4 linked regions of the Nothobranchius furzeri genome follow. The protein of the gene in region 1 interacts with the protein of each later gene in a biochemical or structural test. Links are inferred from orthologs where the notes say so. Each region holds a gene or a part of one and is shown in the gene's direction. Other genes may lie near its edges.

Evidence for each region.
Region 2: the proteins of rnf7 (region 1) and ube2c form a complex in vitro, tested with the Homo sapiens proteins (4 studies listed by BioGRID). The link is inferred for Nothobranchius furzeri from reciprocal best matches to the Homo sapiens genes RNF7 and UBE2C.
Region 3: the proteins of rnf7 (region 1) and ube2f form a complex in vitro, tested with the Homo sapiens proteins (10 studies listed by BioGRID, with this or other methods). The link is inferred for Nothobranchius furzeri from reciprocal best matches to the Homo sapiens genes RNF7 and UBE2F.
Region 4: the proteins of rnf7 (region 1) and cdc34b form a complex in vitro, tested with the Homo sapiens proteins (5 studies listed by BioGRID). The link is inferred for Nothobranchius furzeri from reciprocal best matches to the Homo sapiens genes RNF7 and CDC34.

Annotation. Positions count from the first base shown.
Region 1 is NC_091753.1:33,214,055-33,219,443, forward strand, and holds rnf7 (RING-box protein 2), read left to right. Parts: upstream 1-1,244; 5' UTR 1,245-1,470; coding exon 1,471-1,636; intron 1,637-1,713; coding exon 1,714-1,761; intron 1,762-2,297; coding exon 2,298-2,416; 3' UTR 2,417-2,705; downstream 2,706-5,389. UniProt on the Homo sapiens protein: Catalytic component of multiple cullin-5-RING E3 ubiquitin-protein ligase complexes (ECS complexes), which mediate the ubiquitination and subsequent proteasomal degradation of target proteins.
Region 2 is NC_091743.1:77,061,560-77,068,029, reverse strand, and holds ube2c (ubiquitin-conjugating enzyme E2 C), read left to right. Parts: upstream 1-2,825; 5' UTR 2,826-2,931; intron 2,932-3,177; 5' UTR 3,178-3,197; coding exon 3,198-3,304; intron 3,305-4,346; coding exon 4,347-4,374; intron 4,375-4,815; coding exon 4,816-4,902; intron 4,903-4,990; coding exon 4,991-5,195; intron 5,196-5,300; coding exon 5,301-5,360; intron 5,361-6,034; coding exon 6,035-6,072; 3' UTR 6,073-6,164; downstream 6,165-6,470. Other genes in the region: pik3c2b (phosphatidylinositol 4-phosphate 3-kinase C2 domain-containing subunit beta), read left to right, coding at 1-73. UniProt on the Homo sapiens protein: Accepts ubiquitin from the E1 complex and catalyzes its covalent attachment to other proteins. In vitro catalyzes 'Lys-11'- and 'Lys-48'-linked polyubiquitination.
Region 3 is NC_091754.1:2,838,923-2,845,370, forward strand, and holds the start of ube2f (NEDD8-conjugating enzyme UBE2F), read left to right. Parts: upstream 1-2,803; 5' UTR 2,804-3,015; intron 3,016-5,122; exon of another isoform or gene 5,123-5,145; 5' UTR 5,146-5,202; coding exon 5,203-5,317; intron 5,318-6,310; coding exon 6,311-6,340; intron 6,341-6,448. UniProt on the Homo sapiens protein: Accepts the ubiquitin-like protein NEDD8 from the UBA3-NAE1 E1 complex and catalyzes its covalent attachment to other proteins. Together with the E3 ubiquitin ligase RNF7/RBX2, specifically neddylates cullin-5 (CUL5).
Region 4 is NC_091751.1:57,907,155-57,913,481, forward strand, and holds the start of cdc34b (cell division cycle 34 homolog (S. cerevisiae) b), read left to right. Parts: upstream 1-2,682; coding exon 2,683-2,868; intron 2,869-2,952; coding exon 2,953-3,039; intron 3,040-3,130; coding exon 3,131-3,228; intron 3,229-4,805; coding exon 4,806-4,940; intron 4,941-5,053; coding exon 5,054-5,264; 3' UTR 5,265-6,327. Other genes in the region: splicing factor Cactin, read right to left, coding at 1-71, 149-737, 1,259-1,557. UniProt on the Homo sapiens protein: E2 ubiquitin-conjugating enzyme that accepts ubiquitin from an E1 ubiquitin-activating protein, and catalyzes its covalent attachment to other proteins by an E3 ubiquitin-protein ligase complex. In vitro catalyzes 'Lys-48'-linked polyubiquitination.

The DNA of each region.
Region 1 (5,389 bases):
TAAGGTCAAGGTTAAGTTTTCTAAAGAGATTTTGTGTTTTGGATATTCCTTTGTTAGTCCAACTTTTCCTGCCATTATTCTAGGTAAAAAAAAAAAATCACCATTATCTCAAATTTGTTAAATGATGTTATCTTGTACTAATGGCACATATGTTTACTGAATTCTTCCGCTTCATGGTGATGTGATTTACTATAACATTAACATAATGGATTTAAATTGTATTGGTTTCTTTGTCTACATTTACCACATCTCATCTTTATAGTCCAATCTTTCAAGTCTTCAATTTCAAATAAATAAAAATGTGGTCTCATAGAAAACAAATTTTTGGCTGGATTTAGCTGGAGTTTGACATATATTTGTATTTTAGCTGCAAACTTGGACAAGACTCTCTCCAATTCAGACAACCAGAGTGAAGTTAATGACTCAACCTTCCATCCTGCTGGGCCACCAGAGTCACCAATCAATGCTAATCCTGCAGAATCAAATGGTAAACATTGATCTTTGAAAGTAATAAATGCTTGTGTATGTATTTGGCTTATGTTAGATAATTTCTCATTTGCTGTTTTCAGACATCTTCCAGTGTGATGCACAGAATCCTGCGCAGACATCAGAACGGTGTTCTGTTCCAGTAGGACCTGGTGGTGTGCTTCTCATTTTGTAAAGGCTCTTTAAATTTAATTGAATTTTGCAGTCAGTCACTTGCAGATTCTGAATGCCATGAATGTTAAAGGTTGAGAGATATAAGCAACTGACTCAGACTTATTTAATTGACTTCCCACCAGACATTTCCCAGTCAAGAGCAGAGGGTCCTGTGATATTCTTCTGGTGTTTTTTCCACACACAAACATATTTTAACCTGATATTTGTGGCTTTGTAAAATAAATTGAATGCTAAAATTTCTCAAATGCTGTGTGTGGTTGTATTTTGTCAATGTACAGTAAAAATTGATGTACAATTGCATTGATGTTTTTCAACATGGTGTTGGGGTAAACTGTATCTACCATACAAAACTGGGAATAGTATGCAAGTATGTTGGACTGTACGTGGCCCCTCTATAAATATTGTGGCCCCTTGATGGCCCCACCCTCAGAAAAATCCTAGATCCGCCACTGGTTTTGTGGGTTTTTAGGGCTTTCTAATCCTTAGAAAGGGGCTACTCGCAGTTTCCTGGTTCCATTGAGAGAGGGGCAGGAGTCAAATAGTTGTCTCCACCCACCTCTAAACGTTTAACCCCGCCCACATTTAGCCCCGCCCCGATCTCCGGGATGCAGCCAGGGGCTACTCGACGGCTCCATAGACTGTACATATACGGACGGCTCCCGTGGAAACCCGGGGTCACCCTTTCAGAAACCTCAAGTTGATAAACAGCGCCCTCTGCTGTCCAAATGTATTAGCACGCTAACTCAATTAGCATTAGCGCTAGCATCACTTCCATTTTGTTTAGCTTTGCAAAGCTAACAGTGGGCAGAGATGGGCGACGGTGACGAGCCGGGCTTAGTCCTTTCTCACAGCACCTCTTCGAGCTCCAAGTCGGGTGGCGACAAGATGTTTTCCCTGAAGAAGTGGAATGCGGTGGCTATGTGGAGCTGGGACGTTGAGTGCGACACTTGTGCCATTTGTCGGGTTCAAGTGATGGGTGAGTATGAGGACAACAGGTGAAGCTAATCTGGCTATACAACTAAAAGCCTGTAACGGGGTTTTCTTGTTTTGCAGACGCATGTCTCCGATGTCAGGCGGAAAATAAACAAGAGGACTGTGTTGGTAAGACACGTCATGTGTTTATTGTTTAGGGCGAAACACAAACAGTTAACAAGTCACCCAACTAGCGTTAGCTAAATAATATATCTGAAACCAAACAAACCTGCCTGCTAAAGCAGTGAGGTATGGCTATATGGTCTGACCATATACATGCTAAAATGTTTGAATGCACGTTTTTAAAATCCATTTTAAAATGACATGTTTATGTGAGGTGCAGGACCAAAGCAGAACATGTACACGTTTATATGGGAGCTACAGCATTATTAACTATATTAAAACATTTGTATGTTGTTGCAGAATCTTATTAATACTACAAGCACTTCACTGCAGCGTGCAGACACACCTATTTCTAACATCAGACTAATGGAACACACATTACTGCTGCACAAACATGATCATCTGCCACTTTCACTGAGAAAGATGTCCAAGAGAGGCTGTTTATAAAAAAAGCTTTAGGTGTCCCATGTTTAGCATAAATACAAATGCCCTTTGTAGAACATAACGCTGTTTTAGTCACTTGTGTGTTTTCTTTCTCTCAGTTGTGTGGGGAGAGTGCAACCATTCCTTTCATAACTGCTGCATGTCGCTTTGGGTGAAGCAGAACAACCGCTGTCCGCTCTGTCAGCAGGACTGGGTGGTTCAGAGAATCGGCAAATGAGCTTCACATCTATGTGGACTGTACATTTGTGCACCCAAAGGTGGTGAGAGGAAATTATCAATGATCCCAGCTACGTCCTGTGCTGTCCTCTTCCTTCTGGTTGCATGTTTCCTGGTGTCAAAGGAGGAAAACGGACATGGTTAAAGTTGCACAGATTGGTCGCTGAAGGGATCTGGAGCCGAGAAGAGACAAGTGAAATGTATTTAAGTGTCACCTGTTAGCTTTGTGTAGTTTTTGGCACATCTTAAATGTGTGGTTTCTTTATAAAAAATAAATGGTTTGTGAAATAGATGTGACTATGTATTGGTGTTGGAAATGATGATGCATGTAGTACTACTATACTTGTACTTTAAGTGGGTCTGCAGGGATAGGTGAGATCATCACCAGTGATGACATGGAGCACCAAAAATTAAGCCCTAAATCTACATTTTCTTACATTAAGTCTTACATTTATTCAGATCTGTAAAACACACCCAAATGTTTATTTCAACATCAAAGATGATCTGAGTTAAATACAAATAACTGTTTTAAAATGACGCTTAATTTTATGATGGAAATTTTCATGATGTATGAGTAACCAGATGTTCTTAAATAACATTTTTTAAATACAAAAATGCTGTATAGCGCATAAGCGGCAAATAACATTGGTGCAAGTGCATAACCTTGTTACCATGACTACCATGAATCTGTGGTCGCATGTACAACCACCTTGAGGTTAACCTCGTCAAGATACAAAATTACAGGAAATAATTTAAACAATGTCAGATTTTCCATCAAACCTATTGTTCCTTGAAAAAATATGTTAGGGGGCTGAAATTATTTTAATATTAAAGGTGCAGTATGTAAGAATATAGTAAGACCTAAAGAGTCTAATGTTTCAGTCTTTTTGGAAGGAAGATTATACTGAAACATATTTCGTATCCAGCTGGCTGTGGGAATTGTCAGTTTTTCTTCTTCCAAAACAAAGGAAGGAAGGACATACCTACTGTTTAAGAATAAGTGAGTGTGGGATTGTGTCTCTTGCGAGCTAATACTGCAGCGCCCACAATTGTAGTTTGACGACTGCTGGCAAAAAGCTCCAGAGTTGTTTAATGTGGTTGCAGTAACCAAATTTAACCACAGGAAGTAATTTTTACTTCATTTAAACATAATGCACCTTTAAGTATTTTCCCTGGTGATAGAGGGCAGTACATACCTAACATCAAATAGTTATTTAAAGGCACAACACTGGGTTCATGTTTACATCTACCAGCCAATAAAGGGCACCATTACTGGTTGCCAAACAGCTGGCACTGTGGAAAATGGCAGACTCCCCATGTCAAGCAGCTGCTTCTGAGCTTAGAAGATGTAGATAATAGGCTAACGTTGAATACAGTTGTAAAATAAAATTATTAGTAGAAATTAGTCCTTGTTCTTTTTGTCCTCTTGGGAAATTTACAGGGAACACTATTACCAGGGTAACATGAGGCTAATGACTGGACGGCTGCTTCAACCTTCTGTAACTTGAAGGGCAAATAAACAAAAATCATTTTAAATTGAAAACAGGATTTTTCTTTACTAGCAGAAGAAGTTAGATCCAAATTAACCAACGACCGTTATAGCTGGTTAGAAAAGATCATAGCTAGATAAGCCTGTGGCTTGATGCATCTCCATAGGCTTTCAGCCATTTTTAAACACACACACACACACACTTTAGAAGAAATGTACTTACAAAAATTAAACAATAATGAACAAGAGTCTGCTTCTAGACCTGCAGAAAGAGAGAAGGAAAAAAAAACAAAAAAATAAAAATGGGACAACAATACAACAAGATCCAGTTATCACTGCGTCAACTTGATGAAGAAATGAATATTCATCATTGTTTAACTGAACAATCACACGATAATAAATCACAGTGCATTAAGTGCCCACCATGGCCTTAAGACATGTGTTGAACGTGCCCAAGTCCATACTTATGAGAGCACCAGGTGAGCACCTGTGTGTGTACACGCACTTGTTTATGTAAGGTTTCTCTATAGGAGCATCCAATAGAGAGTGTGAGGGGCCACAGATCTGCCCCCTAAATATATGCAGGAGACAGAGGGAGCTCCAAGTCCCAGAGATCCAGGAGCTGCCCCAGAGCACAGGAACTCCAGGGAGGCTGCGACCAGAAAAGCCCCCGCTCCCCTCGAGAGACGCAGAGGATCGCCCCGGGGGGCCACAACCAGCAGCCGGCAGAGTCCCGGGAGGTATCGGCGGCAAGCCCACAGGCCCGCCCGCAGCCTTCCACCCCCTAGCCAGCCGAGCCCGGGACCCAGGGGCGACCACCCCCGCCGGGGACCCAGGGACCCAGACCCCACCAGGCAGCCACTGGGATTGGTCAGGCAGATGCCAAAAATCTTAAACCCCCTGACCCAGGAGCCACGACCCAGGCAGACCAAGGCACCATACTCCACACCAAGTGTGGCAGGGAGAGGGGAGACGAAGATCTATATAATCAAAAGAAGTCCCAGGAGAAGGGAGGAGTCAAAGGCCCCACCTGACATATACAGTCATACACAAACACAGTCACACACTCCCTCCCTCATGCTCACACATACACATACAACCAAATACGTACAAAAATGCACGCCGGACACCCACTCATGCTCCCCATACACACCCTATTCACTCTGGTCCCGGTACTGCTGCACATGGGGTACAACCATTACCGGTTCCAAGAGATCGACCCTTTCTGCTGGGGTGCTGATGAGCAGGCTCCCCCGCCTAATGCTGAGCACAGCAACCCACCACCCCAGACCCCAACCGGACGGCCAGATCTCCCTCCTAGCCTCCAGCCCCAGGAAGCCAATATGGTGTTAGTGAGTGTTGATGAGGTGTATTCCATGGCCTATGCCACCACACCACCCCACTTGCACCCACAGCCCTCAGTTTAAAATTGGAAGTGGGCACCGGCACCTGGGATGAGGCTGAGAAAAACCCCTGCCAAATGCT
Region 2 (6,470 bases), on another chromosome or scaffold:
CAGGCTGGTCCCAGGTCAGCACTGGGTGGACTGGCACCAGCTGGGTGGGGCTGGCTCAGACTCGGCCCACTGACACAGTGGAAACAAAGGAAAGTCCTTTCAAAGTAAAAGCTGTGAAGGCTTAACCTCCCTTAGATTGTGTATGAGTGGGGTTAGCACCAGGTGAGAATTCTTCAGGTGATTGTTTGTAGTTTGCAGGATTAAAATTGTTTTTAAAGGGAGTTTCCCATCACTGTTGGATAGAAGAGGCAAATCTGAGATGATTTTCCTGGACATTAGGTAAAAACTGAACTAGCAGACTAATTTCAACTGGAGTCTCACCTGTGACCTGAAAGGACAGGTGAGGAGCTCAGAGGATTCATCTTTATCTGATTTAAAGCTGAAGCTGTGGTGAGTTGTTCTGTGTATCACAAGGAAGCAGAAATCAGCTGAGTGGAAACTTTGTCTGACTAACGCAAGTCCCATCGACCCGGAAGCCGATCTCGGATCAGAGACTAAAAAACAAACATTTCACCGAAGAGATGGGAAACAAAGGGATGAAAAGACAACTTCGCTGGAGGTTTCTGGATGAAACAAGCTGCTGAACTGTTGATTAAACAAAATCTTATCTCCTGAAAATAAATCAAGGCTGAGCTCAGAGATGAAGCAGCTGGAGCAGGTCAGGGGTCAAAGATCAGGGGTCAGGTGATGTTCTGCTGCTGCATTTCTGAGTCATGTGTTTTTTTGTTTTGTTTGTTGAATTCCTTTGGTTTCTATGCACTGTAGACCAGATGAGAGCAGCAGAACTCAAACGGGTCATCCAGCTGCAGTTGGAGCAAAGTGGATCAGAACCATATCAGAACTCTATAGGCTGAACTCGGACCTAGGTCCTGCTCAGTGGTCCGTGAGAGGTCACTGGTTTTGGACAAATGGAGCTGCATTCCTCTTTTGGATGTGACCGATACCGAGCTCTGTCATCACGGTAACAGATGATGGAGACCTACGCTCATCGGTCTCTGAGGACTGGCTGCTGTAGGTTGTGGACTGTGATTGGTTCACTGATCCAGAGACAGAAAATCAGCTGACCAGATGGAATGCAGATGTGTTGAGTGAAGCTCCGTCCACCAGCTGACCCAGACAGGTGAGTGGTTTGAGTCGTTAAGCTGACTGAACTTTGTGAAAATGAAAATGTGACGAGTTTGGAAACTTTTTTTATTATTTGCACTAAACAATAAACTTTAATTGAAAACTTCTGTTTGTGTTTTTGTTCAGATTCAGGTGGGGCCGTGCGCCAGTGACTCAAATAATTATGGGATCTGTGAAATGATGCAGTTTAATTCTAAATAATACGGTGAAGGTGCTACAAAGTCCTAAAACGTTCCAGATAGGTCTGAGGGGCATTGTGAGAGAATATGGTGATAAAATGCTTTAAAAAGAAAAATATTGTCATGACATCATTTTTAACCTTTCAAAGAAAATTCACAAAAATACTTGAAATGTTAAGTTTTAATCCTTGAATTAAATAGAGAAAAATTATTTTATTTTTTACCTTTGTGATTTTGTTCTTGTATTCTAGTTTAAAAACCTGTTTTTCCTAATTAATGGGATTTGGTTGCAACAACAAAAAACTTTCATTTTCTTGTTCACTTTGTATTTATGGTTTGTGGTATTATTGTTGCTTTGAAAAAATAAACATGGGCTTACACACACACACACAATTCCCATCTCACCCTCCGCGGGTGGTCTCATCCAAGCTTGGGTCCTCTACCAGAGGCCTGGGAGCTTGAGGGTTCTGCAGTATCTTAGCTGTTCCTAGAGCTGCACTTTTCTGGACTGAGATGGTTTTCCTGGGATTCCTCCAGTCTGGGGGTTACTGCCCTGATGCCCATGAGCACCACCGATGTCTTCATTCTCCAGGCTTTCTCAAGTTCTTCTTTGAGGCCCAGGTAGTTTCTCATGCTCCTTTTTCCTGAGGTTACATCACTTTGTATCGCTATATCAACCACAACAGCTGTCCTCTGTTGTTTGTCCTCCAACACAATGTCCGGATGGTTCTCCATCACCATTTTATCAGTTTGGATCTGGAAGTCCCACAAGAGCTTGGCTCTTGTTCTCAACCACCTTAGGGGGTGTTACCCACTTTGACCTTGGGGCTTCCAGTCCATGCTCTGCACAGACGTTCCTGTACACTATGCCAGCAGCTTGGTTGTGGCGTTCCTTGTATGCTTTCCTTCCCAGCATCTTACACCCTGCAGTTATGTGGTGGATTGTCTCAGGGTTCTACACCTTGGGTCTTGTCTGGTGTGGTAGATGTTCAGGGCCTGTTCCTGTGCAGCCATGATGAGTGCCTCTGTGCTATTCTTCAGACCAGCTCTTTCTAGTTCTTGGTAGGATTTCTTGATATCAGCCACTTCATTATATATATATATATATATATATATATATATATATATATATATATATATATATATATATATATATATATATATATATATATATATATATATATATATTCCCCTCTGACCCTCTGCAGGTGTACTCATCCTCCCAAGCTCCAATTTTTGTGATCCATCATTTAACTTGATTTAGGCTCTTGACTCTTCTAGGAGATTTTATACATCCCTGTAGGAGGAGGGGTAAACAAAAATGTGTTTAATAACTTAGATTTTAAGTTCATTTATTTAAAAAACGCGTTTAAAATAACAAATTGAACCAATGACTTCCGCTGTGTGAACGCCTAGATGGTGGGGGCGGGTTCTGGCTGATTCTACTGGCCAATTACAGTGTAGCTTTTTAATCACCATCTTCTCATTGGTTCGATGAGGGTAGTTCATTTTTTGAAAGTCAGACACTGATTGGCTGTTTGTGAGGAAACGTCGTTTTAAACTGGGGGCGGCAGAAGAATCGGTTTGAATCTAGAGAATCCAGCCTTCCACCACGAACTGAACACCGGTGAGTGTTTAAATCAGCTATAGTATGGCTATAAATGTAATCATGTGTTAGCATGAAGACAAAGAGCCAGTGGTTCTGACCGGTACCACGAGGCACGGCTCAGCGTTTTCTCTGAAATCTCCGGGAGTTAGCATGTAGCTGCTGTTAGCTACAGAAGCTACGGCCCGCTCGGTTGGATTTGATCGGCTCGGTTCGGCCTGCCTCCCCTGCTCAGTCCGTCTGATGTTATATCTGTGTCCTCGGCAGGAGTCGGACTAGCAGCATTCATGGCCTCCCAGAATATGGACCCCGCCGCGGCTGCAGCTTCCTCCACGGCCGCTCTGAAAGGCAGCGAAAGCAGTGGCAACGCGACCAGAGGCTCGGTGACCAAACGGTGAGTTCCGGGCCGTTACAGAACCGGAACCTTACAGGTGTAAAGAATGGGTCGTTTACATCTTACTTCTGAACCATAAAATGTGAGATTCCATAGAAATATGAAATATCAATCTGATGGATCTTTGTTCAGAAGATCGGAACTTTTTATTGCAGGGATTAAGCAACACTTTGTACTAACTCCAAGGAAAGAGAGAGAGTCAGGTTTAAAATAGTTAAAGAAATGTACTTCTACACAATTTAAACAAGAATAACTTAAACACTGTGTACTGATGGAACTAAGGTGGTGTGTGTGTGTGTGTGTGTGTGTGTGTGTGTGTGTGTGATGTTGTTCAGAACCAGCGGCTCCGTAGAAGCAGTTAATTCTGAGTGGGAGTGAATGTTTTGCTCTAAACTTTAGTTGGAGATATATAACACACATGAAACGCCATCTGTCGGTCTACGTTTCTGCTGGACTTGGTTCTTCTTTGGACAATAAAATATCAATAACCCAGTGAGTTCTCCAGCAATGTGAGCCTGCAGCTGCATAACTAGAGATGTGCCAGGATAATCTAAACTAACCTAGAGTCTACGCAAAGGTGCTTCTGCTTGATGTGGTGGAAACATGAAGCTGGTTCCACCAGAGGAGCCTGAGAACTGGAAGTTCTGCCTCCTTACTACTTTTAGGACCGCTGGAAAGTTGAAGCCACAAGTAAAAAGCAGCCTGAGAGCCAAGTGTTCTGCTGGGAACATCTGGAACAAGAGCATCATTAATCGAAAAAGCGTGATCCTTCAGATTTGGAAATAAAATTGAAACTCAATTCTGGATATTTTAGCTAATGAAGTGATCCTAAAACTGAAGAAATCTGATCTCTCCTGGTTTTATTCATCACAAAAATGAATTTTATGAAACAGGAAAGTTTGAGTTGTTAACTGATCAGGTGCTTGAATTTTTTTTATTTGTGAAACAAATTGTTCTGTTATTGATCTTATTACTGCAGCTTATTTCTGGACCTGTGTTGCACTTGTTTAATTCGTATGTGTGTGTGTGTGTGTGTGTGTAGGTTGCAGCAGGAGCTGATGACTCTCATGGTAAGTTCACATCTATAGTTTTATTTTGGTTTCAATAACAAAATGAAAGATGGACGATCCTAACGGGTCACAGGACAGTTGTTAGTCAGAATGTTAACGAACCTGATGACCTGCACAAGTTCATCCTCATTGGGTGGTGGTGTTTACTCATTGATTGATGCACCCATAGTCACACGATCTCCTGCCTCAACACTAATGCAGAGTTGGTGCTGGTTAGGATGAGTGTTTAGCTTGAAGTGCACAGGTGGCGTTAGTCATCTGCAGGTCAGCTGCTCCGTTCTCATCCAGACACTTATCAATGATTTGTTTGTTTCTGTGATTGATTTCTCTGGTCTGATCATTCACACAGGAGCATCAATACCAACATACCTGACATTAGTAAAATCAACAAAACCTGATATTTCTGAGGTCATGTGACCTGTGCGTTCCTCCCTCCTGTAGATGTCGGGTGATAAGGGCATCTCTGCTTTTCCAGAATCGGATAATCTCTTCAAATGGGTCGGAACCATCGATGGAGCCCAAGGAACAGTATGACCACATAAATACAGCACGATCTAAAACTTGACCCCTCCACTTGCTGCTCTGATTCACCCGACACTCTTACCTGTGTGCCCAGGTGTACGAAGGCCTCCGGTACCGTCTGTCTCTGGAGTTTCCAGCTGGGTATCCGTACCATGCTCCTCGGGTAAAGTTCGTCACTCCGTGTTTCCATCCCAATGTGGACGATCAGGGCTTCATCTGTCTCGACATCCTGAAGGACAAGTGGTCGGCACTGTACGATGTTCGTTCTATCCTGCTGTCCATCCAGAGTCTACTGGGAGGTAACCGGAACCACCAGTTTGCTGTCTGCTAAAACCTGATGGATCCATCAGAGCCATCTTTGCACAGCTCAGAGAGCAGCACACAATTCCTTCTGTATTCCCCAGAACCAAACAACGAGAGTCCTCTGAACACGACCGCAGCAGAACTGTGGAGCAACCAAGGTGGTAAGTACACCCACAACCTTTCAGGCAGCCAGCAGAACCCAGAGAACGGCCAGCTACTAATACAATCGGTGTTTGGGTACTTTTGAGCAGTTCTCTTTTGTGACTTTGCTGGTGAAGGTTCTGTCATCCAGGTCATGGTAACCCAAAAGGATTCAAATGAAAGTGACTGGACTTCTTTGGTTTGAAGACGTTTCGCTTCTCATCCGAGGAGCTTTGTCAGTTCTAACTGGAAATGGGAGAGTCAAGCTTATAAGCTGTAGCTGCCTATTGTCTATAGAGGCCAACGACTCAGTGGGTAGAGAGGAGGGGTACTCAGAGTAGTTTCGGCTCGTTAAATAACAGATTCCAGTCAGAATTGACAAAGCTCCTCAAAGGAGAAGCAAAACGTCTTCAAGAAGCCAGAGAAGTCCAGTTGCCTTCATTTGAAACCTTTTTGGACTCCTTTTGTGACTTTATTCCTTTTCATTTTAAACATCTGCTGGGTTCAACCTCCTCTGCAGCCAATCAGACAGCTGTCCTTTTAAACTGAGCTGAGCCTGTTTTCTCCTGGAGTGAACTAAATGACCTGCAGATGATACAGATGTAGAACTGACCTCAGACCAGTTTGTGAGCTCTGTACATGCAGCAAACGATTTTGGGAGCTGTAGTTCTGACTGTTTTTTTTCTCTCTCTAGCCTTCAAAGCTCACCTGCACGCTACCTTCCAGAAGTGAAGCAGTCCCAGCTTTTCTTCTTCCGTCTGTTTTGTTTGTATAATATTTTTATGTTTGTTTACATTGTTGTGTCAATAAAGTTCTTAATTCAACACTCTTTCATAAAATAATTTCCTATCTTTACAGTCAATAATACTGACAGCATCACAGTAATGAATGAATCAACATAAATGTTTATTCTGGAAATGTTTTATTTCAGATCTTAAAAACACCACATGATTCTACTTGTTGAATTTAATGATTTATTATCAGTATATTCACATAATATTACTATATTGATAATGACTGTATAACAGATTTACTTCATGTTAAGTGTAATGAGCCTCTAAGTGTTGCAGGAACGAAGTGGTGTCTGAAGACGTTCTACATACTGGTTTGTCTAACTTTGTAAAGAACCC
Region 3 (6,448 bases), on another chromosome or scaffold:
GAGGTAAGGATCAACTTTTGTTCTTATAGGCTTGAGAATGCATGGTGGTTTACAACAGGACCATAAATGGTTTAGGATGGTAAACCATTGCTTTTGTGAAGTGATAGAAATGTTTGAATGTAATCCTTTTACTTCTTAGAGAAGTGTGTGTGTGTGTGTGTGTGTGTGTGTGTGTGTGTGTGTGTGTGTGTGTGTGTGTGTGTGTGTGTGTGTGTGTGTGTGTGTGTGTGTGTGTGTGTGTGTGTGTGTGTGTGTGTGTGTGTGCTTACAGCCATTAATTTGATGTGCTGCTGGACAGAGAGTTTTACACAATAGTTTTAGTTCTGGTCAAAAAGTGTCAGTGAGCTGCATGTAAATAACACATTTAAACACAAAATTTAAGACTGAACATACGAAATCCAACGTGAACATCTCAAAGAGAGTATTAATGACATAGACAAATGTGTCACTCTGAAGAGTTTGTGTGTGTTCAGCAAAAGGCTGCAAAAGTTCATGCATTGACTTCAGCTTCTGCCACTCACTCAAGAGCTAGCAGACCATACCATCTTGTCTGCTACTACAAAAACAGATTCTTTAACTTTGAGGAAACGTACAACCATTTCATAGGTACTTGACAGTGTGTGGGGCTGTCATTCACAACAGTTAGGCCGCACTCATCCACTGTCAGTGAGCCATTTTTTTCTTAGAGCTCGGCTTTTCACCATTCGGACAGATCTGAGCTTTTAAAGAGTTAAACACAATAGGATTACACTCAGAAGGGAGGGGCTGTGGGAACCGATGGGCTATCACAAAAAAGAAACCACACACCATTACACACATTAGCCTATGACGTGGGATATCATGGACGCTCAACAATACGCCATTGATGATGCGGCGTGGGGGGTCTAGACCATCTGGACACGTTCAACAATACGCCATTGATGATGCGGCGTGGGGGGTCTAAACCATCTGGACGATCAACAATACACATGTCCATTTGATTAATGATACGGAAGGGGGGGCAAAGATTGAACAATACACCTGTCCATTTGATTAATGATAGGAAGGGGGGGCAAGGTCAAGGGTCAAATGAACAATAGGAATGAAAGGTCAAAGAACAATAGACCTGTCAAAATGTTTGACGAAAGGTGTCTTATAATCCTCTCTCTCACATCATCTGCAAAAAACAGACCTGATCCTCAGGCCACCAAAACGGATGCCCTCCTCACCTTGGCTACATCTAGAAATCCTGTCCATAAAGGTTATGAACAGAATCGGTGACAAAGGGCAGCCTTATAATAATAATAATAATAATACATTTTATTTAAAAGCGCCTTTCAGGACACCCAAGGTCACTTTACACAAAACATGTAATAAAATACAATAAAACAATAATAAAACCCAAAGAAGAAAAAAACAGAGAGAAACATTTCAATAAAATCAGAGGTTGTAGGCAGATTTAAACATGTGTGTTTTGAGTTTTGTTTTGAAAAGGGTAAAACTGTCGACGTTCCTGATGTCTGGGGGAAGTGAGTTCCAGAGTCGAGGAGCAGAGCGGCTGAAAGCTCTGCTCCCCATGGTAGCGAGACGGGCAGAAGGAACCACAAGATGGATGGAAGAAGAAGACCTGAGTGAACGGGACGGGGTGTGAATACTTATAAGGTCTGAGATATATGGAGGAGAGAGGTTGTGGATTGCTTTGAAGGTATGGAGGAGAATTTTGAAGATGGACCTGAATTTAACTGGGAGCCAGTGAAGCTGCTGGAGAACCGGCGTGATGTGGTGAAAGGAAGGGGTTCTGGTGATAATACGGGCTGCTGAATTCTGGACCAGTTGAAGTTTATGAAGGAGTTTGTTGGGAAGACCATAAAGAAGTGAATTGCAATAGTCGATACGGGAGGTGACGAGGCTGTGGACGAGAATGGCGGCAGTGTGAGGGGTCAGTGAGGGACGGAGACGGTTTATGGAACGTAGATGGAAGTATGCTGACCGAATTATGTTATTAATGTGAGCCTGAAAAGAAAGTGAGCTGTCGAGAATGACACCCAGACTCTTGACGTGAGGTGAGGGGGAGACTGTGGCGCTGTCAATAGTTAAAGAAAAGCTGTCAGATGTTGAGGGGGTGGAGTTAGTGCCAACAAGAAGAAGTTCAGTTTTATTGCCGTTGAGTTTGAGGAAATTAGAGGTGAACCATGATTTGATTTCAGAGAGGCAGAGTGTAAGGGAGGATGGAGGGAGAGTTGAGTTGGGCTTACTGGAAATGTAGAGCTGGGTGTCATCTGCAAAGCAGTGAAACTGGATATTGAATTTGCGGAAGATTTTGCCGATAGGGAGGAGATATACTATGAAGAGGAGGGGCCCCAGGACAGAGCCCTGGGGCACACCTGACTTGACTGGGGAGGGTTCTGAGGTAAAGGATTTTAACTGGATGAACTGGCAGAGTCCAACTCTCACTGGGTCAATAATCACAATGAAATATTAAATCTTTACAGGTTCATAATTATTTGTAAAGGTGGACATTTTCCTCCAACCACATCATTACAAATACTACTACTACTACTACTACTACTACTACTACTACTACTACTACTACTACTAACAATAACAATTATTATTATCTTCATCATCATTATAAAAATAATAATAAAATAAAAATTATTATTATTATTATAAGTAGTATTAGTAATAGTAACAATAACAATAATACTAATGATAATTATAATATTAACGGTTATTAAAATGTTTATAACCGTCCACCAAGCAGCGCGGAACTATTTATCATTACCGTGTGTCCACACGGAAGCAAATAACAGGGCACTGCTCCATTGCGCTTCCGTTTGCCACCGGAGCGAAGTTTCTGTCAGCTGATTCCCAAATCAGTTCCCAGTCTGTTGTAGAATCGGTAATAACTAGTTTTGGATCCTTTGAGAGGAGGACGCGTCTGCTACCCGCCAGGTGTGGTGCTGCTGGCGGCAGCTTGAGCTCGCAGAGCCGCTGATTATGGTTTAGCACGAAGAGCTAGCTGGGAGACAGAAGGTAACACACAAAGAACACACAAGCGGCTCCTGGTGTGAAAAGTTCAGCCGTCAGAAAGGAGCCGTGTCATTTGTGCTTGTGAGCAGAAACCTGGTGTTGAGCGATCTGTCTGGAAACGTCTACGTAGCTTTTATTAGCAACATTAGCGAGGTGTTGTTATGGTAACCCGACCAAAGAGGAGGAGGAAGAAGGTGAAATCTTAAGTTGTCGCTCTAAATCAGCTGGTTTCAGCGCCTTTAAGAAGACTTGGGTTGTTTGTTAGGATTCCTCTGTTGTCACGTTGACTGGATTCGTGTGTGAAAGGCAGGCCACCTAGATGAGACGAAATGAGGGAAGTGAGCATTAATTTGTGATTAATAGGCTAGACTCACTGTTAAAGCTGTAGCAGGTCAGACGTCTGACCACAAACAGGCCTGAAAAATAAGGACAAAACAAATGGCATGCACTATTTTTAGCTTTATGATCAGTTTTTATGGAAATAAATTAGTATACTAATGATCAAGCATCCAGAGCAAAATAGACAGAGAAGTTCACCTTATACTTTAGAAAATTAGTCTTCAGACTTTTTCTTTGACAAAACAATTTATTTTCATAAATAATGAGTACTCCCCGCTGATGTTATGCTCAGACTCAAGCTCTAAATTGAGTGTGTGTGTATATATATGTATTTATTTATTGAAGCATAAAACTAGAACTGCATGACACTTCGTTGAATGTTAAGACTCTTTTAGGTATTATCTGATTAGGGCTGCCTGTCTTTCTTTTCCCTTTGATTGACCTCTGGGCGACAATATCTTGAGACCATTTATAACGAGGTCTGTGATTGATAGGTTAACAAACAGATGCATCTTTCTTACTTCATCACTTTTATTAAACGTACAGGTGAAAGTGGCTTGAAATGATACAAAGAAAAGATTGTTGGGTAGGTTTAAGGGAAAGCCTAAAGAGTCTTTCAGGTTTTCTAAAAACAAAACATCTATTGTACAAGACCTTGTTAAAAGTTTGGTGTACAAGCACTACCGTAGTGCGGCGATTAAAGTGTTGTTGCGTTTGTTTTGCCGCTGACTTTGTGAGCTCTGCTGTGATGATGTTGCCGTACAGACATATGAGGTGACTGACAGCTGGGGCAGGTGTGTGTCGAGTCGGGCTCGGCGACACACGACACCATCACTCCCCCTCTGAGTGAGCTCACCCAGTGCACAAACTGGGTTTTACAGAGTGGAGACGTTACAGGAAACCTCTTTTTACCTGGGTTTGTTGCACTAATACAGGTGGAGTCAGGACATCAGTTATAATATAAAGATTATAAATGATATTTGGGCCTAAAGCAAACTTGGCTCCAACTTTTCTTGCTTTGGCTCAAATTGTCCCAAACATTTTAGTTTTGTTTTCCACTCATCTGAAAGCACAAATGGACCCATTTGTTTGTTTACATCCAGAGACTAGCCGTGACCTTTCCTGATGAGGCTCAGGGGGCTTGACTTTGCTATGGCATCATAAGTGAAACATAAAGTTCATCTTTGTTTGCTGAAGTCATCATGTTGTGGTGTCAGAAACCCTGTCTGACTTCAACAGGATTACAGTTCGGTTTAAAACGTCACAGCAGCGTGTCGCTGAGTCACACCCAAGGACTGTTTTGGTGGTTTGGACTAAAAAGTTGAAAACCAGCTGGTAACACTTTAGAGACTCAGAGAGAAAAATGTCCAAAATAATCACTGCATTGTTTTTCCTTCTGAAGTGTTTTCAGTTTTTCTTGTTTAAACATCAAATAGAAAACATGACACCGTTGAACAGGAAACGTCTGATTCTGCATTAGACCGAGCCGCTCCACCTGTTTAGTGTAATCTGAGTTTATGCATTTATTCCCACTCCAGGTGCTCTTTGATGCTGGTGACCAACACGATGAGTCACAGACACAATCACTCCTCTTGGTGGAAACTTTCAGCAGATTAGTTTCAAAGCGAAGCGGCTCTTATTCAGCGTTTTCTCACACCTCTGTTCCCTCCCGGCCGGCTCTGAGCGGAACATTCAAACCAACTTTCTCACATACAAACAGACACTTTGTTGTTTCTCTGTTTGTTTGTTTATCTATTCTGATAAAATGAAGATGTGGATCTGTGTCACTGGCAGACGTTGGACAGGCGGTGAGGCTCGGGGCAGAGAGAGGCGTGTCTCAGCAGCGTAGCCATGCTTACATTGGCTAGCAAGTTGAAGAAGGAGGATGGAGGGAAAGCAAGCCGTGCCTCTGGAGCCTCAGACTCCACCCACAGGGTCTCCATCAGGGACCGCCTCCTGACCAAAGGTACCAGTATCTCCTTATCGTCTCGTTCCACTCTGAAGGATTTGTAGGCGTGGAACACTGAACCATTACTAATGATTGTCTCTGATTCTAATAGTAATGAGTTTTTCATGCAGGCTGAACATGAAAATAGTCTCCTACACCTACCTCCTGCATTAGCTTCTGATAGAAAACAGATGGTGAAACTCTAGAAAATCCTGACAGATTTACGTCACACTGTCACTAACATTCATGGACTCACCCATCTGGACTCACGACGGGGAAGGCTGTTGTTGGTTTAGTCCAGGAAACAGCAGAGAACGTCTCGGTTAGTAGAAGCTAACCGTTAGCATTAGCAACTCCACCACACAGCAGAACTCCTCCAGGCTTGTGTTATTGGTGGAGATAAATCATCAGCGTTGCAGAGCAGACAGTCAGTGGTAGTCGTGTTGCTGTTAGCCAATCAGAGACAAGCTTCTTGTGTCTTTGTCTGACGAAGGAAAGTACAATCATTAGTTTCTTTGTGCTCGCACCCATTAAGACTTTTTTCTCACTCCGGCCTTCGTGCTATTCAGTTCATTCTGTTAGCTGATGGTTTGTCTCAGTCTTCTCTGATTGGAAGTTGCTAATTAGCTGAAGCTTCCTACAGAATTTATTGTGCAGGTGAATAAAAACCCATAAAAACTCCACCGAGGTTTCCCCGCTTCTAATTGGCTGCGTTGTTGCATTTATACGAACAGGAACAGACATTTCTAATCGAGCCGGAACAATCCCCAAACCACCCAGTGGAACCGGGCTTCTAACGGAGAAATCTCTCCGAGTCGAAGCGGTTTAGAAACAATAGGATTCAGAATACTTCAGAAACCAAAACCCTCGTCTCACCACGCCGTTTCCTGTTTCACGCTGACCGCAAACATCAGACACGGTTCGCGACCCGCCGTTCTAAACAACACCTTCTCAGTGTTTACCTGCTTTTCTGCTTTATTCTGACTCATTTTTCTGTTTTTGTCTCAACAGAAGTTGCAGAACTTGAAGCCAATCTTCCTAGTAAGTGTTCCTTACATTTCCATTCCCACGGCTTCCTTTTACCCAACTCCACCTCCTCCTTTAGGCGAACGGAGCGGAATTAAAACATCTGTTATAGCTAAGCCTTGG
Region 4 (6,327 bases), on another chromosome or scaffold:
TCCTGAATACATTTGTTCCTTTCTTTAAGATCTTTTTCACCAAGATGGCCGATACCCTTCTTATCCAGCGCCTGAGAACAAAGTATCCTGATGAAAGTCCTTTCAAGACTTAAAAACAATCAGCCACAGATCTGGGAAAGGAACCCACCTTCTGCCATTTAAAGGTTCCTAATAGGTTATTGTCACCAAAAGGATTGTCTGCGTTGGTGTACCCCATGTATTCCTCACTCCACCCCATCTTTTCTCTCCTTTTTTTCTCCTTAGCTTCTTTCTTCGCCAACCTTCTGGCTCTCTTCTCCTCTGGCGTCTCCAGTGCTTTCATCATCTCCCTCTTGTTCTTCCTCTCAGTTTTCTCTTTGATTGCTCGGCTCTCGCAATCTGACCCTGAACTCTCAGATGACTCGGAAGAACTGGGGCTTTGCCTCCCTCTGTTCCCATCAGCCCTATCTCTGCTCCTCTTACTCCTCCCCCTTTCCCTCTCCTTGCTCTTCCTTCTCGTCCAGCTTTCGTCCCTGTCTTTTGTCCTTTCTCTGTCTCTGCTGTTGCTTCTCCACCGCTCCCTCATCTGTCTGTCTCTGACTGGACTGTTTCTTCTCCTCCTCCTTTCTCTTTCTCTGCTTGCATCACTTGAATCAGAGGCAGACTGGGACCTTCCCCTTCTTCTCTCGTGGGATCTACTGCTGCGTTTCTCCATCTCTTTCCTTCTCCTTCTCATCTTGGAATTATCTGAATCAGGACTGAGACAAAAATAGAATTTAGTGTGAAAATTAAATGAATATAAACGCATAAATTATGACTAGTATCAAGAGATCATTTTATAAGCCTTTTACAGTGTTTAACACCTATTCTATATATAATCTAGGAGTGTTTAATGATCTATTGGATTACAACGGTTTTTATAATTAATCAAAGTAAAATTCGTTTCAACCTGCTTCTAAACAGTTACATGCAGACATTTACTGTAAATATAGTGTTTAAAAACACCTGTCGCAATAACCACCTGTGGGTTACACCCACCCACCACCTATAAATATGACTTATTGGAGGAAAGATGATGAAAATCTGCCAATCTCAAGCGACTCTCTATTCTGAATAATAGATCACAAACAAAAATATATTTTGACTGTGGCGACTTTCTTCATTTTTTGCGCTGCGTGAGTCAAAAACAAGTTAATGTGTGAATCTCAAGTTGGACGAGTGAAGCTTAACTAACAGACACAACCTTTTATCGTACTGTAACATATTGTGTTAAAATTACCTCGATGCACGATCCTTTGATTTGCTGCTGTGGCGCGGCGCTCTTCGACATCTGTCCCCCTCCGATTCACTCCTGGACCCTGATCGGCCCCTATGTTGAGGTCGGGCCCGAGAGCCATCGCTCGAAGCCTCGCTGCTGGATCTGCCTCGACCCAGTGTGGTCCTTTTCGGGCTCGGAGACCTGTTGCGACCTCTCCTCTCATCTGGAGATCGCGACCTGTTTACTCTGGACTTGTTTCGGTGATCTCTGCCCCGACTTATGGACCTGGAACGAGACCTACGCCGTGTTTTCGAACCCATCACGAACTTTCTTCTTTTCGGGGCCCTAAATGCAGTCTGTCGCGTAAATAGGAGGCATTGACGAAACACTGTTGATTATAATAACGTTTACAATCGCACTAATAAAAACATATGTCTATGTTTAATGTTCGCATACTCTAACGTGTGCTATGACAGAAAAAATTACGTGTCAGATTTCTTTTATAAAAAATCCAAATGTATTTAGTAAGGCAAAGAAAAGCTAGCCTAAATGGGCTTTCCTGAGCACTGGCGCAGATTAAAACGTCACAGCCACTTAATAAACTACAAATTAGCCACAAATGAACGCAGGATTGTTTTTCTTACAATTTAGTTATGTCGGTGATAAAATACTATTATTGATGTCATAGATATTTCGTCCATAGTAACCGCTACCGTATTTAAACAGTTTAACAGGAAAATGCAAGCACAAACAAACTTATTTTTCTTTTTGGGCATTTAAAATAAAAATAAAAACATCATAAATAAAAAGAACAGGAATTATATTATACCAGGGTTTTCAGTTATTTTGGTTTCACGTTTTTTTAATCTAACAAACGCGGAATGAAAGACTACCAGTCCCAGCCAACAACAGGGCGCCATTACCTGTTTTTACCAGGGGACTCTTTCAGCAACACATTTCCTTTCGCAGCTTTCTATGAGGGCTAAACAATTATGGTTACTGGAGGTATAGTTTGGCGTAGTGTCACATGACTTTTTGCGTTTGTCTTTTCAAATTGCCATTTTATGTAGTTATTTTGTGTTTTTGCGGTAATTACGTCGCTCCAGCTGGTCAATTAGACGGAGCTTGTTAGCTTTCCTTAGCTAACAGTAGATTTAAGGCTTATATCAGCTGCTGCTCTGCCAGGTAAATCAGCCAAAGCTGTTGAGCCTCTCAGACACAATGTGTTTCTCGTTTATAACATTACTGAGTTTTGACATTAATAACGTTTAATTTGGGAACAGACCAACCGCAGTCTTTGTTTTGCTTTTACGCGCGGTCGGCCTGTTTTCTTTGCCTCCGAACATCGAAAAAGGAGAAGTTGTGCTGTTTGCTGGCTTGGCTAGCTTAGCCGTGTAAACAAAAGCTGTCGCCTCCAGATAATCCTGAAAGCTTCATAAATCATTATGGCGCAACACGACCCTTCTCATGTAGCTAGTTCGCAGAAAGCTCTCATGTTGGAAATGAAGAGCCTCCAGGAAGAGCCTGTGGAGGGATTTAAAATCACTCTGGTGGACGAGGCTGATTTATACAACTGGGAAGTCGCCATTTTTGGTCCACCAAACACTCATTATGAAGGGGGATATTTCAAGGTAAGGTTGTAATTAAAATCAGATGACATATAAGAAATGACCGTAGTTTAAAAAATAACAAGATGTCCCCATTTTCCCCCCTAGGCAAGGATCAAGTTTCCTACAGATTATCCTTACTCCCCTCCTGCTTTCCGCTTCCTAACCAAAATGTGGCATCCCAACATCTATGAGGTTAAATATTGACGTGTGTGTACTCATAACAGTGTATTTAATTTGAATGAATGCATCTGATGATGGAATGTATTTGTTTCCCCTCTTGTAGAATGGAGATGTGTGTATTTCTATACTGCACCCTCCAGTGGATGACCCGCAGAGCGGAGAGCTCCCATCAGAGAGATGGAATCCAACCCAGAATGTTCGGTTAGCATTTCTCTTTCTAATCATATTCTCTCTATACGTTTCTCCTTTCTGGTCTCCTTCCATCTTTGTCCACTTTGCAATCACTTCAATGGTTCACCCAGCGCAGACTCTTATCTTATGACATTCATTATCAGCAGCATCTTCTTCACCGGCTGCAGCAGCCAGCAGTAAAGCTAGATCTGCATCTTCCTCTTATTTACAAACAAAATTAAATTGATCTTTGGATAATATCATACTATGCAAACTAAGATTTTGTTGGTTTATTTCTATGAAAAACATACTTTGAGTACCTTAATTCATTGTGACTCACAATAAGTGTATCGCATGAGTTTGACAGCATTTTGCTGCAGAAGAGGGAGAAAATGCATCTTTATTTATTATAAACTTCCTTCTGAGGTTATTTGTCAGGCTCACATTATGCAATCTGTGCACAAAAAAATGTATCTTTGATCTTTTTCTGTAACTGAGAGCCAGATTTCTATTCAACAAGAAACTATCTATGTAAAAGCCACCACAACGATGTCACACTCACAAGTGATATTAAACCTGTGATCTGTAGTAGTCGAAATCACACAACTTCAGCAGTGTTACAAAGATGTAAGCTCTGGTGGTTTCGGTCACTTGATGCAGTGCAGCTCTTATGTTTTTGTTGTTGCAGGTGGTATACCGTTAACCTAACCTAATTTCCTCATTTGCATTTTTGCTGCAGACACATTAGATCTGTAGATCAGGAAGTCTGTCACAAAGGCTGTTCCTTTGGCCACAAACAGAAGCAGCTTCTTTCTGTTTCCCATAACGACTCACTAAAACCTTACTCACAATGCTACGTTTTATAAATGTAATGTAAAGGCTTGTCAGTGCGCATTGTGCGCTCTGCTGAGAAGGTGATTGGCTGCAGCCCTCCATCTCTCCAGGACCTGTACGTCTCCAGAACTCGGGGGCGTGCAGGCCGGATAACAGCTGACCCTTCGCACCCGGGTCACAGACTTTTTGAGCCGCTTCCCTCAGGCAGGAGGTTACGGTCCATCCGGACCAGAACCTCCTGCCATAAGAACAGCTTCTTTCCATCTGCCGTTAGACTTGTGAATAGATTATAAACACACAACCATGCTGGTCTTCTGTACTCGACACAACGTCACGTTATCGGCCATGTTACCATTACCTGCCATTTTAGCTGAAAGTTTTATTCTAGTTTTTTTAATTATTATATTTTATTCTATTTTATTCTATTTTTAATCTTATTATTCATGTTATATGTAGCACATTAGTGCCGAAGCAAGTTCCTAGTTTGTGAATTGTTTGTTCACTGAAAATGGCAATAAACCTATTCTGATTCTGATTCTGGTAGGGTGGTAGCACATGGGTCTGACAGGTTTTTTTAATACATGTTTTATCAATTAGCTTTAAGTTCCTAATGTAATATGTGCTTCATTGTTTATTCTAATAAAATAGTAGATGAAATAAGTAATTTAGGCTTGTGACATTAAAATATTTTTTATGTGTTTAAAACTTTTTAATTCACCTAAAGTCGTTTTCTTATGGTTCTATACTAAGTTGCCTTTGTTTTTTGCTTCTAGGACCATTTTGCTGAGCGTGATCTCGCTGCTAAATGAACCCAACACCTTCTCCCCTGCCAACGTGGACGCCTCTGTCATGTACCGGAAATGGAGAGACAGCAAAGGCAAGGACCGGGAATATGTAGAGATCATCAGGTAAACATTAGTGTAATGTTATTTAAGACAAACCTCAAATATTTCTAAAAGATTTTCAAAGCCACACCATCCACACAAAAGTAATTCAGTCTTCATAAAACAAATCCCTTCAGGAAACAGGTGCTGGCCACAAAGGCAGAAGCAGAGCGAGATGGCGTGAAGGTGCCCACCACGCTAGCTGAATACTGCGTTCGTACACGCGCCCCGCCGCCAGACGAAGGCTCTGACCTCTTCTATGACTATTACTATGAAGACGATGACGTGGAGGGGGGAGACGGCGACTGTTGCTATGACGAGGATGACTCGGGCAATGAGGAGTCGTGACATTCTTGTTGTCAGAAAACCCAACCTAGCTGACGAATGCTCATCCTTTAACTCTTCCTGGGTTGCCAGATATTCTTGGTTTGCAACCAAGAGAGATTGGAAGCTTCCTTCTAAATCAGTACAAGAGCTTTTTTCCTTCAGCCTCAGAGGTTAAAACTGATGCCTCGTTGCGAGAGGGTCAGACTGTGGTCACTTTTGCACCAGCACAGCCACCAATTTTTTTTTCCAACTTCGAGAACTTTTCATCACACTGAAGCTTACTTTGCTCACAAAATCCAGTCCTGGTTTTAGTATGAAATATTTTTGGTTGGGTTTCATGATCACTGAACTGGTGCAAACTCTTAAACCATCACTTCACCTGTTTTGCATAGCTGTATTTCTCTAATTGTAACTGGGGGTGTCTCACTGGTTGTCCGCCTCGTGGTGGAAACTTTTACAGACTTCAAGATGGACAAAGGACTGCAAGTGTCCCATATTTTACAGTTTCTGTCTTTGATTGGCAGGACATGGAGGAGTTTTCATGGACAGTATGTTCAAAGTTCTCATGCATGCCAGAACTTCTTTGAAAGCTTTTTGTCTTTTTATTTTTATTTTTTAAATTGGTGGACTGTTTCCCAACGTCATGAGAGACTCGTGGCAATGGAGGGCCGTCCCGTCTGCTGGAGTCTGCTGAGTCAGCTCCTCATATGAACATTCTTACTAAAACATGAAATTGATCTCTGCTGGGTTTTTATCTTGGATGTGTTTTTCTGTCACTCAGTGTGGGGTTGTGTTTTTTTGAATGAACTTGTTATTAAAGTTGTGTAATAATCAAGTTGTTGAAGGTTAGAGGGGCAGAACTAATTATTGATTAGAATTGTATTTCTCCTCAGCGTTGCTCTCTGAGCCGCCTGATGGACCCGAAGAACTAAAGCAGAGTGTAAATTAAATTTTAATACGCTTTGCCAGATGTTTCTCTTTTTGCTTTCTTGCAGGCCCTATGATTTTAGTTTTTCTTTGTTAGATGTTCGGCATGCACTGGAATAGGTAGTCTTGTGTCGGTGTGTACTACCGAGATCAAACT